Ovis aries: one gene and its partner. The protein of the gene in region 2 purifies or fractionates together with the protein of the main gene of each other region. This does not show direct contact. Links are inferred from orthologs where the notes say so. Each region holds a gene or a part of one and is shown on either strand. Other genes may lie near its edges.

Region 1 (3,649 bases), on a different chromosome or scaffold from region 2:
TCTTAGACTGAAAAGGAACCACTTCAAAAGAATTTGACTCCAGTCACAGATAACCATTTTACTACTACTTTTCATTCCTCTGGATTACATCTAGCCACAACATCAAAGCACTTAATAGTGGGAGGGAAGTACAGAAAACTCAAAGGGGTCCTTACTGTAAATGCTCATCCACTAAAAAAATAGATGTACACTGCCTAGTTCAGTTCTGAATTTTGCTTTTCATTGACAGGAACATTAAAATGTATCTTCCCATAGCACTTTCCTTTTTTGTATAAACTAAGTGGATTTAAAACGTGGATTCCCAAAACATTACTGAAGATTCTAAGTTACTTAAAAAAATTAAATTCTCCAAATAATTTTCACAGTTAAGCTTAATTTAAAAATCATCTGTTATAGTTAACAAAGCACTCAGCCTGCACTTTTCTGACAAAGTTCTACTGTTATAGTTAACAAAGCACTCTGACAAAGTTCTACAGTGAGCTGTACAGGTTGTAACTATGTGCAGGCACTGTTATTATTTCCTAGGAGTTGTTATGAGCTGCCAATTCTTCTACTTGCATAGTTCATTACTCCATTCAAAGCAGTTTCCTGTTCACCATCTTATCTGTCTCTCCTAAAAGATCCCTAATGGTAAGGTATCCTGGGCACTGCGTTTTAAAGATATGGAAACTAATGTTGTTCATTATGCTAGTTACCTCGCTGGGCCTGGAATTCAGGCTCCAGCCTGCATTTCTGCTTACCAACTCTCACTTCATCCCCTTAAGCTATCTCTCAGGGCAAAGTGAACTCTGTAACTGAAAGGATGCAAGAGCATGATTGCCAAAACTGCAGCAACAACCTCTGTCAAAACGTTTACCCCTCAAGGTCCTTGGAAGATAATGTGCTAGTTGAAACTGTTGAGTTAAGATAGTCAGGTAGGGAGATACTGACACTCATTATCAGACAGGTCAGGAAATGCGCTTGCTGCGCCGCACATTTACTCCAGTACACCGTTCATTCTGGCCATCTCATAATCCAGTTCCCTGACTTGTTTGCTTGGGGTGCTGCACAGAACTCCCACACAATTCTCTACCTCTGCTCTTACTACAGCAAATGGACAACTCCGCAGTGATTCTATTCATGGCACTTAAACATGGCTGTTAAAAGACTGACATACAGAATGATCTTAAAGATCAATACAGTTCCTCCCTTTTAAAAAAAACCCGAAACAAAACAAATCCTCCCGCCCACTAATTCTTATTTAAAAAACTAAGCAAAGTGTTCCATTTCCTAACTCAGAGGTAAAGAAACCTAACTGTGGCTCACCTTTGTCCCCCCAAGCTTTTAATATTCAGCTCAGTTTAACTTCCTCCAGCCAGCATTCACTTGTGTCATACCCAGCAGTTAATCCACTAAGTCCAGTTTCTTCCTCCTGTATCCATTAAGGTGACTTCAGGTCCCAGAACTTAACCAACTCAAAAAGGAGGATGTTGATGTAGGGGACCAACATCACTCAGGCCTTAATTTATTTAAATCATCTATCAAGTAGTCAAAGTCTCTCCTGTCCTTTTTTATACACAGTTTAGTGGCTCAGAGGATAAAGCGTCTGCCTGCAATGCAGGAGACTCAGGTTCAATCCCTGGGTTGGGAAGATCCCCTGGAGAAGGAAATGGCAACTCACTCCAGTATTCTTGCCTGGAGAATCCCATGAACAGAGGAGCCTGAGCAGGCTACAGTCCCCGGGGTCGCAAAGAGTCGGACACGACTGAGTGACTTCACTTCACTTTAGTTCTAACCCCACCACCATCAGATTTTATATCCATTATTTGGAGAGAAGTAGGGTACAGAGAAGTAAACTGCCTAAGTTCATATAGCAACAAACGACAGATTAACGACCTGAACCAGGGCCTTAGCCTTAACCATCAAAACTGCCTCAACTAAAACTCCAACGTGATCATAAAATTAAGCCCATGACCTTGAGCCAATCATTTCAGAGCTCTGGGCCTCAAGTTTCCTCCACTATAAAATGACTTGCCCAGAGAGCTTTCGGGTGCTTTCCTGCCAGTCTTTGTGAATTTACAAACGAGATTACTTTCTCCTCATCCATGAAGAGATATAATTAAATGTCAGGGCCTAAGTTTTCCAGCCCCTGCGTGTTCTAGCACATTCTCCATACTCCACTCTTCACTCTGTGATTTTAACTTTCAAATACTGAACCTCTAATGCTAAATATTCTCTCTCGGCCCACTATCAACTCTTCCCCACTACAAGGGACATCGACTAGGCCCGATCCTATTCCAGACCTTTACCCAGTTACTCCGGGCACTTCCCAGCTTCACAGGTAGCCAGCAATAGGCTTAAGAAAGCCCTAGAAGCAAAGCCAGAAGGAGAAGTTAGCTTTCTCAGAGGTCAAAGGAGGTTCTAAGGCACCTGCCACGCCTCCCGACCCCGGTGGCGCGGCCTGGGCCTGGCTCCCTGACTCAAGCGGCCCAGGTCCCGGCCTCACACCACACGGCCGGAGCGCCAGACTGGGCCTGAGCTTTCGAAACCCAGCCGGACCCCACGGCCCCGGCCACGCCCGGCTCTCCAGGCCCCCGGTGGCGGCGCCGCGCATCCAGGCCCCCAAGAGTCCTCGCAGGCCCGAACACAAGCAGGCCTCCCGTCTCACCTCGAGCCTCAGCGGGACGGCCGGTGGCGCCCTCGCCTGCTCCCACCCGCACAACCGGCCCCGCGCCGCAGAGAACACAGCCGCCGAGGCAGCGCAGCAGCTGAAGCCGCACGACCGTCACGTGCCGCAGCACCAAGAGGCCTTGACTCCCGCTGCCGCCGCGCGAGCTAGCCCCAGAGCACGAAGCCCGGCCCTGCGCCCGCCCCTCGCTCCTGAGTAGCTACAGCTAGCGCCAAGGCCAGCGCCCCCGCGCCAGCTTCTGAATTCAATTGGTCAGTGCGACCATCGCTCTGAGGACTTTCCCTTACGCCCCCTAGGGCTATTCTTCGTGGAGCGTGGGGATTGGCTGGGAGTGAGGCAGGAAGTGGCCGTTGGTTGGGCGGTACGGAAGGGGGCGGGCTGGGGCGGAAAGGAATACTCCCGGGCGCGCGCGCCCTGTGGCGGGACCAGCCCTTCAGGAGTTCCCGCGCGCGGTTGCGCTGGTTCCTTAGTGGGCGCGCTTCCAAGAGTTGCATCTCGCTCTGTGTCTGTGGTTCGCACACCTTCTGTGCCTAGACCCGGGCCTCGGAGTCTGGCACTCCGTTCCCTTCGTTGGAGGTCAGATGTCAGCTGGCAAGGAGGGATGGGAAGTCTGGTGAACCATCGGGAAGGGCCTTGCCCCCGATGCAGCGAGTGCCCAGCGCCAACGGCTCCCTCGCTCCGGCCTAAAGTCGACTGCACTGCGCTGTGTAAGCAGGCGCCGCGGTTCCTGCAGTGTCATTGCTCTAGGCCCAGCAGCCTGAGGCCACCTTGTTACCCAAGCTCAAATACAGTCCGCAGTACTACGCTGCAGGTTTATTTCAGTTTTCAATTTGTGATGTTTTCCTCAGTAAAATTATACAGAAAGGGCACAGAGACACACTGACAATATTGAGAGAAAAAGATGGTGCGATGGAAAGATTTCAAACACACCGCAAGTTTTGTAATTCACTTTGAGCATATTTTCAGTTTTGAATATGCTGA
Region 2 (3,675 bases):
TTTCTGCTACCAACGAAAGTGGGAGTCTAGAAAATAAAAATAGCCTGATTAATGTCCAAGCAACGCACCTTCTAGCTCAACTCTGGCTTATTTAAGTTACAGTAGTGTAAACTGTGACTTCTATGTATCAAAAGCTGTGTGGGGTATTAAGGATAAAATAAAACCTCCTTCTTCCTCTCCCCAGAGTGGGATTCCCTCTGAGCACAGAAGGCGCTGGGGTAGGGCTGGTTATTTGCATGCGGTGGAGCTCTCGGCAAGGGGTGTGGGATGCGGTGTTCCCGAAGCGACAGATGAGGGATTTTGGCCGCGTGGGATGTGAACTGCGGAATTCCTCTCCTCCGTTCCTGAGAGGGGCTCTGAAAGATATAAGGTTAGGGACGCAGAGCGCGACCCTGGGGGCGGAGGGCGAGGGAGCGAGCCAAGGACACCAACCCTAGCACGCTTCCGGAAGCTCTCCGCGGACCGAGTTCATAGGTTCTTCGGCCTCGCCTTCCCGGTCACCCACCCCCAACCCGAGACCGATTCTGAAGGGCAGGCAGTTCCCTAGGGGCAGCGAGTGCAGCAAGCGCACCGTGAGCCCTCCACCCTCCTGGCTTCTACGTCTGCAGGTGGTTGAGCCGGGTAGGAATCGTGATCCTCAAGAGCCAAAAAGAGGCCGTGAGCTCGCGCTCCGCCGAAGAGACGGCCGCAGGCTGCAGTGCGCGGGCGCGGCGCGCTCAGGCCTCGATCCGGGTTCCTGGGGGCGGTGCGCGGGAGGGGGCGGGGCTTGCGCGGCCGCGTGGGCGCCAGTCGCGCGGGAGGGAGGGCTCCGGAGGGAGGGGGCGGGGCCGCGCCGCCCGCGCCGCGCTGGGCCCGCTTGGCCAATGAGCGGCGTCCACATGCCGCGGCGGCGGCGAGAGGGGAGGCAGCCGCGGATAAATGCTATTAGAGCAGCCGCCGCGGAGCCGTCCCCGACGCCACCTCCTTCTCCTCAGCCGCAGTTTCCTCAGCTACTGTCGGGGGTGCAGAGCTGAGGGGACTAGGCGAGCGCTCCGCGCACCATCCCGCCGGCTCGCCTCCCTCGCTCCGTTCCGCTCTCAAGGGTCGGCAGAGCACCCCCTCCTCCGGCCCGGGCGGGGCTGAGAATCACCACTGGAGAACGGGGAGGGGGCTTCGGGGCCGCGGCCTGCACTCCCGGCGGGCGGTTGAGGGTGAAGGAGGCCCTCCCTTCTGACGAGGGGAGGGAGGGTCAGGACCCCCCCCCCCCCGCCCACCGTCCAGCTGTGCCCGGGGCGGGCACCGGCGAGGGCCGGACAGCGAGAGGGGCGGTTGTCTGGGGGAGGGGGCGCGGGGTGATTCAGCGCCCAACGAGGCGGAAGCGGCCGGAGGAGGAGAAGGAGGGGGAGAGACCAGTCCGCGCCTGGGCGCCCGGGGTGGCACGAGCCCGCGGCCCGAGTGCTAGGCGGAGACGAAGAGGCCGCGGGGACTGGAGGCGAGGCCGGCCGGGCCCCCGCAGCCATGGAGAACGCGCACACAAAGACGGTGGAGGAAGTGCTGGGCCACTTCGGCGTCAACGAGAGCACCGGCCTGAGCCTGGAGCAGGTCAAGAAGCTCAAGGAGAGATGGGGCTCCAACGGTAGGTACCCGGCGCCGGGGCTGCAGGGGCCCCGCGAGGCTCGGCGCGGGCCCGAGAGCCAGGAAAGATGGCTGACCGGGCTCCACCTCGTGGGTCTCGGCTCCGCGCCCGCCGAGGGCTGCAAGCGACGGGTTGAGCCCGCGCGCTGGCCCCGCAGAAGAGGGGTTGCAGGCGGGGGGCACCGAGGTCGGGTCTGCGCCTCGTCTCGACATCCGCGTGGCTCCAGCCCTTGACCTTCTACCGCACGCAGCTAGCTCGGCGGCTCTTTACCAGCAGCAGCTGGCCCCGGCAGAGGGAGGGATGAGCCTCCTGCATCTGGGTTGAGCCCTGCGAGACATTTTCTCGTCCCTAGCCGGTTTATGAGGCGTCGCTGTAGTTGAGAATGCCTCTGACCATTCTACTACCCAAAGTTACACATCTGGCAGAAGTGATGACAGGGCTGAAATGACTCCTTGTTTCAGAAACCCTGCTTAGGTATTGATGAGATTTCACGTTTCAGAGTAGATCAGTACAGCAAGTATTGCATATTTTCTTGGGGTAGCATTTTGATATGGTTTCTATTAAATACTGTTGAATGTTCCTACATCTAGGTGCATCTTTCAAAGACAGTGATAATTTAGTAATTCTTTTTGGAAAGAGTGCTAAATTTTTTTTTCTTTTCCTTCTCTTGACACGTTGCCTGATGAATTTCTACAGAGTTACCGGCTGAAGAAGGTAAGTAATCTTAACATGTTTTTTCTGCCCCCTCGCCATGCTGATCTTAAGATGACATTTACAACAAATATGTTTCTTTCTAACAGGAAAAACCTTGCTGGAACTTGTGATTGAGCAGTTTGAAGACTTACTAGTTAGAATTTTATTGTTGGCAGCATGTATATCTTTTGTAAGTATAAAGAAATTTCTTTTCTTTCCCCAAAGTTGAGACTATACCTTAGATGAAAAAGCAGGAAATATCTAGCTATTGAGTGAGAACATTTTATTTGGAGATTTAAGCTGTGTTTTCTTGTTTTTGGTTTTGGGTTTTTGGTTGTTTTTTTTAAAAATACCCTAGGTATTTGAAAATTATAAATAGAACACGCCATTCCTGTACAGAAAATAAATGAATGCCTGACATTTGCAGTCCATTTAGAAATTGTTGCCAAATGTGGCAGGTAGGGTCTTTATAAATTCTTGTGGTTTATCAGTTTTTAATATCTAAAAGTTGCTTATTGGAAGGCTTTTTCTGTTTTGGGTTCTTCCGTTGTGTAAGATCATACTAAGATGATGATGGGCTCTTTGTAGTCTGTAAATAGAACTTACAAAAGGAATATTCCAGTTGCTCTCCCTTCCTGGTAATGGCAAGGTGACAGTTGTTTCTGACAGTGACAAGAATGATGACGGCAGTGATGGCACCACTGTTGACCAAATTTGGTCACTGACCTTTAGGGTAGTATATTTATCTAAATTGGACCCCCGTCTTGAGTGGCTCCTAGATTGAGAGAATAAGGTTTAGTACAATTGGTTCTAGATCTTAAAAGAAAAAAAAACATTGTTTTTTCATGTTCTGTGTGTGCTTACCGGCTTGAGTCCTGTATGGTTGCTAAGAAACTGGTGAAATGCAAACAGCAGAAGAAAGGTGATGGGCATTGAAAAGGATAATTCTAGATTCTTACAGTTTTTTTTTTCTGTTCAGCATTAACGTTTTATTGCATTTTTTTTCTCATGAGCAGTGGACCTCCAAGTTTTCCTAAAAATGGTCATGAATAGGACACAGATGTTCTTAATCCTAACAAGAGATGCCTTTTGTTCTTTAAAGTACAGTATTTTATTCTTATAAAAACCAGGATGAGAAATGTGCTAACTTTTTTCAGGCTTTGCAAACTTGACACAGCTACAGGGTTTCTTTTTTGTGTGTTTGCAAAAGATGCATGCAAGCCTCAGGGATCTACCTCAGTCTTTATTGACAACCTTACTCCAGAGGGCTATTTTGAGAACTAAATACATGAAGCAATGAGCATTTGTTTACTTTAGGTGAAGGAAAAAAATTGGCAAGAGGTGAGCTTTTTTGAAATTTCTCAAAT

What was found. The genes of interacting proteins can lie anywhere in the genome.
Region 1: the proteins of ATP2A2 (region 2) and CANX purify together in Homo sapiens (co-immunoprecipitation; 3 studies listed by BioGRID and IntAct, with this or other methods). This does not show direct contact. The link is inferred for Ovis aries from reciprocal best matches to the Homo sapiens genes ATP2A2 and CANX.

The regions. Positions count from the first base shown.
Region 1 is NC_056058.1:1,408,557-1,412,205, forward strand, and holds the start of CANX (calnexin), read right to left. Parts: upstream 2,830-3,649; 5' UTR 2,648-2,829; intron 1-2,647. UniProt on the Homo sapiens protein: Calcium-binding protein that interacts with newly synthesized monoglucosylated glycoproteins in the endoplasmic reticulum. It may act in assisting protein assembly and/or in the retention within the ER of unassembled protein subunits.
Region 2 is NC_056070.1:54,247,057-54,250,731, forward strand, and holds the start of ATP2A2 (sarcoplasmic/endoplasmic reticulum calcium ATPase 2), read left to right. Parts: upstream 1-872; 5' UTR 873-1,497; coding exon 1,498-1,615; intron 1,616-2,311; coding exon 2,312-2,329; intron 2,330-2,415; coding exon 2,416-2,498; exon of another isoform or gene 2,499-3,230; intron 3,231-3,675.